Rattus norvegicus: one gene and its partners. The protein of the gene in region 1 interacts with the protein of each later gene in a biochemical or structural test. Links are inferred from orthologs where the notes say so. Each region holds a gene or a part of one and is shown on either strand. Other genes may lie near its edges. The genes, in order: Rrad, Prkaca and Camk2g.

What was found.
Region 2: of the proteins of Rrad (region 1) and Prkaca, one has a biochemical effect on the other in vitro, tested with the Homo sapiens proteins (2 studies listed by BioGRID). The link is inferred for Rattus norvegicus from reciprocal best matches to the Homo sapiens genes RRAD and PRKACA.
Region 3: of the proteins of Rrad (region 1) and Camk2g, one has a biochemical effect on the other in vitro, tested with the Homo sapiens proteins (2 studies listed by BioGRID, with this or other methods). The link is inferred for Rattus norvegicus from reciprocal best matches to the Homo sapiens genes RRAD and CAMK2G.

What each region holds. Positions count from the first base shown.
Region 1 is NC_086037.1:359,238-363,496, reverse strand, and holds the start of Rrad (GTP-binding protein RAD), read right to left. Parts: upstream 2,822-4,259; 5' UTR 2,665-2,821; intron 2,525-2,664; exon of another isoform or gene 2,473-2,524; 5' UTR 2,458-2,472; coding exon 2,091-2,457; intron 1,433-2,090; coding exon 1,359-1,432; intron 1,259-1,358; coding exon 1,054-1,258; intron 263-1,053; coding exon 1-262. UniProt on the Homo sapiens protein: May regulate basal voltage-dependent L-type Ca(2+) currents and be required for beta-adrenergic augmentation of Ca(2+) influx in cardiomyocytes, thereby regulating increases in heart rate and contractile force.
Region 2 is NC_086037.1:41,080,388-41,084,493, forward strand, and holds the start of Prkaca (cAMP-dependent protein kinase catalytic subunit alpha), read right to left. Parts: upstream 2,803-4,106; 5' UTR 2,667-2,802; coding exon 2,621-2,666; intron 1,956-2,620; exon of another isoform or gene 1,688-1,955; intron 1-1,687.
Region 3 is NC_086033.1:3,608,022-3,610,958, reverse strand, and holds the end of Camk2g (calcium/calmodulin-dependent protein kinase type II subunit gamma), read right to left. Parts: coding exon 2,868-2,937; exon of another isoform or gene 2,860-2,867; intron 1,362-2,859; coding exon 1,129-1,361; 3' UTR 1,117-1,128; exon of another isoform or gene 1,108-1,116; intron 617-1,107; 3' UTR 520-616; downstream 1-519.

The DNA of each region.
Region 1 (4,259 bases):
TCATGGCAGGACTTGGACTTGGCACGAAAGGCCATCTTGCGGCTGTTGCGAGCTACTATGCGGCCCAGAAAGCGTTTGGCCTTCTTGCCAAGGCTCTCCCGTCGTCGAGTGCCAGCTTGTCGACGAGCATTATCCTCTTTGCTGTCCCTGCGCAGGCGTATCTGACGCACAACACCCTCGAACAGTGCCTGGACGTTGTGATGCAGTGCTGCGGAGGTCTCGATGAACTTGCAGTCGAAGACCACTGCGCAGGCCCGGCCCTCTATGTGATGGGGACAGACATATACCAGTTAATGATGGGAGAATGCTAACTCAAACCCTGGCCATATCCGGCAGCTATGACTCAAGGATAACAGAAGGAACCCTAGATCCTTCCTAGAGACATGGAGATCCCATTTCCTATACCGAGAATCCCAAACATTCCTGGGGTCACTTGATAGACAGAATATGCCTCCAAAGTTTATGGTGGCCCACAAAAAAGGCATTCATATATTTAAAGCCCAGCATTTAAAATGTATTCTGTAATAGTGGACCAAGGCAAACAAGATTATTTGACGGCAGCTATGTATTTTATGACTTGCTACTACAACAAATAGCCCAACATACTGGGGTCGTGGCAAGATCACCTAGTTTGAAGTCTCGGTACTGCATGCCACAAAAGAGGATGCTAAAGCCTGATGAAGAAGCACCAGGCTTACGCCGAGACTGGTAGGGCCTGGAATTGGGTTCTGACTTCCTGATTCTCTACATGTTTGCCCATTTCTCCAGCCTCACTCTTGTCTCCTGTCAGGCATGGACCCAACGAGCAGTTGTGGAAAGTGCTTTCGTGTCTCATTCCTCCTAGCAGATCTGATCCTCCCCTCCCCCTTTGTTTTAGGTAGGCCTTTGGGAGCCTGATGGACCAGCAACACCTCCCCCACCCTCCAACACCAAGTTTTCTTCCTGAACATTTTTAGCCACTGATGATCCCCAGGGACTCAAGCTGAGCCAAGACCAGCTGGCCCACAGCCCAGCCAGGATCTCCCTCCCTTTCCTGACCCAATGCCTGCTTACCATCCACAGAGACCTCACGAGAGCGCACCAGATCGCTCTTGTTGCCCACTAGGATGATGGGCACATTGTCTGTCTGCCGTGCCCGCCGCAGCTGGACCCGGAGTTCTGAGGCTTTCTCAAAGCTGCCCTTGTCCGTTATTGAGTACACAATGACATATGCATCCCCCATGGCCATGCAGTGGCCAGGCAGCCAGCAGCCTCCATCCTGGAGGGGACACAAATGCATACACGACCTTGTAATTCCTAGCAAGACCCTTCTCCAGCTTTGCTTCCCCTCGTTCTCTGTGACCCAGTCTGCATCCTACCTGTTCCCAAATGTCATAGACCATTAGTGATGCTTCTTCTCCATCCACAGTGATAGAACGGTCATATGTGTGCCCTAGGAAGGAAGCCAAGAGCCAAGTTATCAGTTGGCTGTCAAAGTTCCCAGTGTCCACCTTCTTCTTCTGACCACACCCCCTGCTTCTTCTCTGAGTCCTCTGATAATTCTCATCCACTAGCAGATGGTTGCTATGCTCAAACAACACGGACAAACCTGGGAGCTAGGGACTAGAGGACATGACCTCCATCTCTATGTCCCCAAACTATTGAAGTACTGAGTGTCCAGGGATCCTGCTGCCTGGGTACAGAGTGGGTGTGATCATATTGGCTGGAGTTAGCATAGTGCCTGTCGCAAACCCCTGGAGACCTTGGCCACCTAACTTTCCTCTTCTAGAAATTTCCCCGGATTTTGTTTCTGCCAGCCCCAGCAGGCAGCTACATTTCTCTGCTCCAAGCCACAGAGAAATCGTATCTGGCACTCTACACTCTATTCTGGACACTTCTTCTCTGGACTTCTTCAAGGACCAGCACATGGGTAGGGGAGAGGGGGTGGCAGCAAGTAGGGAGTAAGTGGCTCTTCTCCTTTAGTTTCTCCATCTTGGACGCGGAGGAATAACATGATTCAAAAATGCCTTGAAATTTCATAGAATTTGCCACTTTTAGTCCAGCTCCACTGCCTCCCAACTATCTTTATCTAAACAGCCCAGTTCTCTCACCTGCTGCTTCTGCTTCAGGTCCGTCTTCTATACCACCAAAGATGCGCGCCAGAGCGCTCTTGCCCACACCAGGTGCCCCCAGCAGCAGCACCTTGTAAACGCCATCCTCTGAGCCGCTGTCTCCAGAACTGAGCGAATCGGAGGAGCCTTCAGGCCAGTCCAGCCTCTGCCCCTGTGTCCGAGTTCCAGCTGCAGTCGCTGCCAGGGAGCCCGGGGTTAGCGCCGCCTGAAGGTCTCGCTCGTCCACCGGCATGCTCCTGCGGTGCAGTGGGGGTGCCGGGCCCCATGGGGTGCTGCCTCGACGACGGTCGCGCTCCCGGCCCGCGCTACGGCTGCCGCCCGCTCCGCTGCCTCCATTCAGGGTCATCGTGTCGGACGCCGTCTGAGGAACCAAGAATTGGGATAGCAGCTCTATCGCGGGAACAGGCAGGACCCTGGAGTCAAGAAAGATGCTCAGGATGAAGGACCTGCCAGAACCTACTGCCAGCCAGGAGGTCTCTACACCTTCACCTGGGTCCCCATTCATCCCCCAGCCCAGATGGTGTCGTCCACCCCGCTTTGTCAGGACACTCACCGACTCTTGCACAGATGCTATCAGCACTTGATCAGCGCTGCGGCACAGACCACTGGGGAATCAGATAGACCCACTCGCAGACCCCTGTTCAGACTCGGAGCCTTGTCTCTGTCACGTCTGCAACCTTTTTCTCCTTGATGGCCTTCTCAGCCCCTCAGCTGGCGCTGGATCGCGGTTCTAGGGCCTCCTATTTAAACCTCTACCAGCCCTTACCCCTACCCCGCTCCCGCCTCTGCTCCCGCCCCCGCCCCCGCCCCCGCCCCCGCCCCCGCCCCCATCCTCCCGGGCTGCTGCCCAGGCTGACGCATCCACTCGCCCCCGGGAATCCCCCCCTCCCTTCTAGGACCTCAAACCCGCCAGGGGCGGGGCAGGTAGCTGGAAAGAGGCTGGCACAGGGCGGGGGAGGGGGGTGTTGGAGGGGAGGTATGGGGACAGGGAGTGTGAGTTGAGGAGGGTGCACCAGTGTGTGTAATTCAGAGGCTGCCAGTAGTGGGTAACTGGACCAGTGAAGTACAACTCCATCTGGAGAAAAATTAGGTCTGTCTCTTTAAAGATGAATTTTCTCTTCTTTGGCTCAGTCCTGGCTTGTTACCCAAGCTAATAGACATGTTATAGACTGGACACACTCAGAACCAATGGAGCCCATTCCTCCAGGCATGGACCTAACCAGAATTTAGAGGGTCTTAAACCAGCATTTCTAGCTTCAACACTAAGCCCTTCCTATTCCTGTCCTTGTTCTGGGACTTAAAGAGTCTCCCAAAGAGACTGCCCTTCAGGTTGAGGGTTGGTGTCATCCATGAATTCTTAGGGTCCCTTAGAAGGTTCAGGGGGTGCAATGGAGTCCTCTGTTAGGGCCTACTAGGTGCTTGTCTCCTGGAGAGAAACTACAGGGCCAGAAAAAGGAAAACACAAACTCAAGTCCCCACCCTAACTCTAAGCATGCCAAGCAGCTGCCAGTAACTGCTAAAAATATCTAACCCTGGCCCTAGCCATTTTGTTTCTGGGCATGAGGCTGCCCAGAGTTGGGGAGATCCAGGCTGACAGTGGGGGACTCCAGAAAGAGCCAACTCCTTTAGAGTTTTCAAGTTTTTCCTGCTCCTGAGCCCCATGCTAGGCCTCATCTCACCGAGGAGGGGCATAAATGGTTATGGGCAAGGGGTAGCTTTTAGGAACTAGTCCCAGGGCCTCTGCTCTGTTTAAGACTCACTTCTCATCCATACTAAGTACCCATGTGCCAATGGCAAAACTAGATGAAGTACCATCACTGCCTCGGGTCTCCCCTTTCTCAGACACTGAGTGAAAACAGGTATAGTCTCAGAGGGAAGGAGAGCTGATGGGCGGGCTGTGGGTCTAGTGCCCAGTCTGCCTCTCTCCCAGCGTTCAGGTTCCCAGTCCTGAACTACTGGATATCATAACTATTCTTTCCTTGCTCATCTCTAGGGTGAAGATTGGGCGCGCGTGTGTGTGTGTGTGTGTGTGTGTGTGTGCCTGCCTGCCTGCCTGCCTGCCTGTCTGTCTGTCTGTCTGTCTGTGTACTGGCTGTGACGTACTTTGGGACAGGAACTTGCTCTTAGATGTTTACAATGACTGTGGTG
Region 2 (4,106 bases), about 41 Mb from region 1:
GGACCTATGAATGGAAATGAGCAAAGTGTTTATTATTTCTTTTAAAGGCTGTGTCTCCTTTGTGGCCCAGGCTGGCCTCGAACGTAGTTCCTTCTGGATCACAGTCCCTCTCTTGCTGGTTTGAGACTCTGGCCCTCTTTTATGTTTTTAAATGTCTCTATACATTTATTGTGTGTGTACACACATTCTTGTGGAGGTCATAGGATAACGTGAAGAGCCAGCTCTCTCCTTCCACCATGCAGATCCCAGGGAGACAATTCAGATGGACAGGCTTCACAGCAAACATCTTTACCTGAGGGCCATCCTGTAGGACACAGGTTTTGTATTTTGATGCAAGGTCTTGCTGTTACCCAAGCTAGCCTTTAAGTTTTGGGCTTAACTCAATCCTTTCCCTCAGCCTCTTGGGTTGCTGGTACTGTCAATACACACTACTGTGGGGTTTATCATTTTAAGTTAAAACATGACTGGGGTTTAACTCCTGCTGACGCACCTTTAGCGTCTGAGTTGAAGGCTGGACACGATGATGCTCGCCTTTAATCCCAGCTCTGGGGAAGCTGAGGCAGGCGGATCTCTGAGAGTTGAGGCCAGCCTGGTCTACATTTCAAGTTCCAGGCCAGGTAGAGCTATACAGTGAGATCCTGCCTTTAAAAACCAAAACAAACAAAAGAATGTCTGAGTCGAGGCATTGCGGGGTCCAGGAGATATGCCGCCGGTAGACAGATCTGGATGTGAACTCTGCCTGTAAGCCATCATCTGTATCAAACTCAGATGGCTCACTTGGACAAAAACCATCAAAGTGAGTATGCCTGTGGTAACCATTTAACTTAGCCCTCCTGATGCACGGATTTCATCCGTACAGCTCACTCCTGATCTTTTCCTTGGGATCTTCCCTGCTCTGTGGTTCAGTTCTGTTGTGTATGTCTGATATGCTTTAAACTTCTCTAGCACCGTGCTCGGCTCTCAAAGAGGCCACTGCAGCACATAGTCCACTGTGTGTACAGTCCACTGTACGTACCATCTACCTCCTGGTGGGCCTCACCAGCCAAAGCAGCTTAGCCCTTCTCCCTCTGCCCCGGGGCCCCTCCAAGCCCAAGCCCAAGACCTTTTTGGGCACTGCCCACCTGCTCCTCTGTCATCAAGCCCTCAACTACAAGCACTTGCCTCTCTGTCCCCCGCCCATCGGTGAAATGCCAGGCCTCTTAAGGCTGCTCCTCTGCTGGGCTGAGCTCTGCTGTTTGAAAGTGGGGGGGGGGGAGGGGCAGGAAGTTCTTGGGCTTCTTCAGTGGCATTCTGGGGACTCAGTCACTGAGAAGGGCAGAGCAGATCAGAGCCTCCTTTTTGGGTAACTGGAAGGACTTCTCAGCTGCAATACTTCTACGGCTTAGAGTGACACCACTTTAAGACATGGAAGTATTGGGGACAGGGCTCAAGACCCTTTCGGAAGTAATTTCAAATACGGAATTACTTTTTTTTCCCTGGCTGGAAAAATTCAGCATGTTTATGGATGGGGGAAAGAATACACTCATTCTAGGTGAGCCCTCAGTATACACAGAATCCATCTGTCTTAAGCAAACAAAATTATTAATGTCACCTATTGCTGGATGGGGTTACTCCAACCCATGCAATTCTTCTTTCTAATCATCCCAATTCAAGTCCAATGAGCCTTTGCTATTCATTTCATCCTCAGCTTTGAACCAGCCCCAGGGACTGGGTGAGGGACAGAACAGCAGTTGTGAAACGACCATTTATTGAGGGGCCTTCCTTCCAAAGAACCCAGACCTCAGGCAGGCCAGAAGGATGTTCTGCCGCTTTACCTCACCCGCAACCCAAGAAAAAGGACAGACGCAATGGCTCTGAGCAAGACCAGCTCGAACTTGGATGTGGAAGCGCAGAAGCAGCTCTCTAGGTTCATAAACAGTCTGCCACCCCAGCCAGGGCCAGACGATTGCACGGAGGAGGTGGAGTGACAGGATGAGAGGGGCAGAGGGACCCAGAAAGATCTTGTCCCCCATGCCAAGTGACACAGAAGGGAAAAACAATGCAGGAGGTGGCCCTGGGAAATGCTCGTGGGGTGAGGGGGGGCCTGAAGGGGGGGGGCTGTGATGAGGTGAATCGGGCAGGGGTAGGAGAAAGATGGCGGGGGCTGGAGGGGGAGGGGTGTGGTCACCAAGTGGCCAAGGTCCCTGCAGCGTGGACCCCACAGCACTTCTGAGACTAGCAGGAGCCTGGATCAGGGTCAGGCATTGGGGCGCTGTGTGGGAAAGGTGAGTGACGAAGTGGGAGGGGAGATTAGAATCTGGGGAAAGGGACTAGGAGAAGAGGGGGTGGGATGGTGACAGGGCCCCATCTGGGGCCCCGGCGGTCATACATGCAATGGTTGGCAGTGACAGCTGGGTGGGGGGGCACGGCCTTTGCAGTGGGGGATGGTAGGCCATGGGCACGGGGGCCCTACTGGGGGCAAGGTACTTCTGCGGTGATCGGACCCCAACGTGTACAGGCAGCAGGCAGGGGTGCAAGCAGACAGGATTGGGGGGGCATATGGGGGAGGGGCCATGCAGTGATGGGCATTGCGCGGGCAGGCCGCACGTAGCGAAGATCAGGGTGACGGCCAGGCACTCACCGCTCTCCTGCTCGCTGCCCTTCTTGGCGGCGGCGGCGTTGCCCATCGCGGCGGCGTCGCGGCCGGGGCCAGTCCCGGAGCTGCGACGCGGCGGGTGCTAAGGAGGCCGGCGGCCCCGGAGCGCGCTGGGCAGCGGAGGCGGCGGCCCCTGGGGCTGGCTGCGCTGGCTGCGGCGCCACGACCCCCGCCCAGCCCCTGCTTCCCGCGTCTCTCTGCGCCCGCCCGCGGGGGAGCCTCAGCCCAAGTCCTCTGTCCGTGACGCCCCCGCAGTCCACCTTCCATTGGTTCAGGCCTCCCTGACTGACAGCCCCACGCCGTTGTTCATTGGCCCTCAGGAACTCTCCCGCGCCACCATAGGCTCCTGGATGAGTGACGCGAGTTGCAGACTCTCGTCCATTCACGGGCTTGTGAGGCCGCAGTCGGGCGGGCGAACCCATGTGATTGGTCAAAAAGCCCGATGGGGCTTGGGGCTCGCCCTGAGAAGCCGTCGATTGGCGGAGACGCGCGGCCCCGGCGGGTGTCAGTCCCGGGGTGAGAGGGCGGGGCAGCGGCGCAAGCTGCGGCCCGGGCGGCGGGCGGGGCGGAGGCTGCGGCGGCGGTGGCTGGAGGGTGGCCGGGTGGCAGGCGCTGCAAAGTGCGGGAGGCGGCCCGGCGGACGTCCGTGCGGCACTGTGCGCGCTGCAGTCTCCCGCCCCTGCCCAGTGCGGCAGCGGCTACGGGCCAGAGGTTGACGCCACAGCGAGCCGGCGCAGCGGCTGTCCACCTGCCGGGGGGGGGGGGGGGTAGGGGCGGGCTGGAGCTGAGGGTCAAAGGTCGCCGGGCGCCGTTCGGCGTCATTCATAAGGCCTGACACTGGGCAGCCGTGACCCAAGCAGCTCCGGGTCCGCTTTGGTTTGCTCGCGACACAACCGGAGTTGCAAGGAGATGCTGGACCCAGAACTTAGGGCGGGCTGGGAGGAGACTCTCAGTGTCCACTCTTTGCTGAGGCTCAACCGAGGCCTCTGAAAAGTAGTAACAACGGACGCAGGCCAACTACATTACTTCTTGTACCTAGCATGTTGGGACTGTCATATTCCCATTTTGTGGAGGCACAGTCAGACTAGTTCCTTGCTCTTAACTAATCTTCATTGCCTAGACATTGCCAGCAATAACCTGCCCTCCGCGGGCAGGCGGAGAGCCATTCTGCTTCCTTCTGGATGCTCATCTTTAAATTTTATTTTTATGCAGTGCTGGGGATTGAACAGGTTGCCTACTCCCTGCTAAGTAACCACTGTACCACTGAGCTTGAACCTCACTCAGTTGGTTCTAGCTGCACTGTCAGAACGTGGTCAGTTTCCCACTGTGCCACCAACACTAGAGGCCTGACACTCTGCTGGAGGGGTCTCCTGCACACACACTACTAGGTTGATGTTAGAACCCCCATCCTCACACACTGGATGCTGGCACTCTTCCACCTTTCTGCTGCCCGGGACAACACAAACCACCT
Region 3 (2,937 bases), on another chromosome or scaffold:
CCACGCTTCACAGTTGCCTCCACAGCGGGCTGGGAGCGCTGCGTTCTCTCCCAAGTAGGTCTGTTAGCCATGGAGTTTTCTTCTTTCTCATACTAGGTGTCAATGTATATTCTGAAGAAGTCCACTCCTAGACCTGGAGTGATCAGGTCACCACCGGGGCTGCAACCACAGCATGGCTCTGTCCATGACCAAAGCTCTGTCAAGAGTCCTTGCCTGGTCCCCCCCGAGTCCATGGGGGCCTGAGGCCAAGCTCACCTCTTCAAAGCCAGTGGGTGAGCCCTCTGTTCACGCCTGGATGAGCATCATACAAACTCCTGCCTTCTTCAAGCCCAAAGGCTATCAGTTGTTTTAAAACGCATCATGGTATGAATTCCATTTTTTTTTAAAACAATCTTATTTTCTTTTTTTTTTCTTAAATGTAAAAAACACCTCAGTACAGCAGAGACAGACACGAAGGGCGGGCGGGAGGGCTGCATGCAGGGGCGTGCATTGGCTGCTGCCGCTTTGTAATGTAATTGTTTTAAACCTCAAATGGACAGGACCGCGGCTGTCACTCAGGCCCTCCAGAGTCACTGACTTCGAAGGTTCAGCCTCCAGCTGGAATCTCCTAATGCCCCTGTCAAACAGAGCAGGAGGTGGCAACAGAAGAGAGAAGGACAGTGAGAACACAGGTAAATTCACGGGGTTTTGGTACACGGCACACTTGGCTAAGTCCTTGAATGGGCGGAACAGGAGAGCTAATGTTTAAACACGACTGTCTCACATTTGAGTGCCTACTCAATGCTTTACATATACTGTCTCACTCCTTACCATCCATCCTGGAATGGAAGCAGGTACAATATCCCCCGTCTTTGATAACTAAAGAAACTAAGGCTTAGCAGGGGAAGAATCCTAAGTCTGGAGTCTACCTGACTACAGAGCAAAGCTTATCAAAACTATGTTGCCCAGTCTGTGGCTCCCCTCTGGGGGTGGGGGGCATACCTCTTCCTAGAGTGCCACCTTCTACCCTTCTCTTACTCCTCCGACCTTAGCTATCCAAGCCACCTCCCCTTCCCAGCCACCTCTCCCTTCCCAGCCACGCCCCCTTCCCATCCACCTCTCCCCTACCAGGAGCACCTGTGCCTGAGCTCACTGCAGCGGTGCAGCAGGGGCTCCTGAGCAGTGATAGTGGACATTGAGCCACTTGCCATCCCGGCGGTGCCACACCCGGGTCTCCTCTGACTGACTGGTGCGAGGCCGACCCTGCCCATCGATGTACTGGGTGAGCCGGATGTAGGCGATGCAAGCTGCGTCCTCGCCGATGACATGGACATGTGGGTTTAGGATGGTGGTGTGGATAGGCTTGCTGTTCTTGGACAGGACTGCAGGGGGCGGGGCGGGGGAGGGGAGGGGAGGCAGCAAGCATTAGGCTCAGACAGTCACACACACACTCCCACCAGGCTGCACCTTCTGAGACTAGCTCCAGCAGCCATTTCTAGAATCCCCAAGTACTCCAACATCGCCCACCAGAGGCCGCAATCCTCCATTATATTGGTTTCATCCAAAAGGAAGAGAAATGTGGGTAATACTCGCAACTACTCTTTTTTTTTTTTTTTAATTCTTTTTTTTATTTATTTTTTTTTCCGGAGCTGAGGACCGAACCCAGGGCCTTGCGCTTGCTAGGCAAGCACTCTACCACTGAGCTAAATCCCCAACTCCCGCAACTACTCTTTTCATTAGGTATTTCATTAGGTTTTACAGGCGAGAGGGATGTCTGTCTTTACTGATTTTTTTTTTCACTATATGCAGGGGGAAAAACAAGACTCAAATTAAATAAAATATTTAAACTCAGGACCGGGCAGCTCTAATAAAAACCCGTGGCTTTTGTACTTGGTTAGGCTGGTATTTAAAAGTCCTAGGCTTATTTTGCCCCTAGCTAAGACTAGAAGAGAAAGATCATAAAAGCGATACATTCAAAATCAATTTGTGACTTGAAAAGAAAAGGCACATCAAAGGTTGAAATCCCCAAAGCACTCAGCTCAGGATCCCACCAAGTTCCCAGGGTTCTCTGGGTTTGGAGAAGTGGAGGGAGCTGGACTGACTGCCACTCACTCCCAGCATATGCCTTGCATATGGTGACGGCTTGGCTCAGATTCCCCGAGTTTATTCCAACACTACAGAGGCTGCAAGAGCCCTCCTTTAGAACTACGATAAGCACTGCCCTGGCTACTAGAATTACTTAGATAGCTAAGGGATTACACAGGCAGCTACAGTGTGGGGAAATCACATGCAGAGTCAGTGGGGGGAAAACAGCTACAACAGAAAACTCAGGGCAGAACAGGAGACACCAAGGATAAAGTGGATAAGGGGAGGAAATCTGAAGAATGAGAGTTAGGAAAGTAGAGATGGTGTGATGATTCAGTTCTGGGACTCCCAGGAGCTTATAGACCTCCCTATCCAGATGCTTGGCTCCCTCGATGTCCAGGGTGTCCTCGCCACAATTTCTGACCTCACAGTTCACCACTACTGCTGTTACTTGCTTACACATTATCCTGTTTGCAATTCCCTTTACTGGGAACCCTGCAGACACAGACCTCCATTATTACTCGCTGAGATCATCTTGAGTTAATGTTGAAGAGTTTACAGTCTGTCTTGGAGACAGGTGCTGTTTAAACAAATGCAGTGACCCTAACGGTGATGGTCAGCAGCGCCTTGATACAGCTGCCAAGTGAATGGGCACTCAGCCTCTGAGCAGTGCCCATTAAAAGCCAGCAGGACACGAGGAAGGTCAGATAACGCAAAGAGAGGTCACAGGGTAAAGGGTGGGTAGGGACAGAGGCAGGGGGAAGGGGCAGGCAGGAGTTTATCAGCAGCACGAACCCACTCACGATTCTCAAAGTAAAACTTATGGAAATCCATCCCCTCCACGAGGTTACCAAGGGCTTCTGGCTCAAAGGA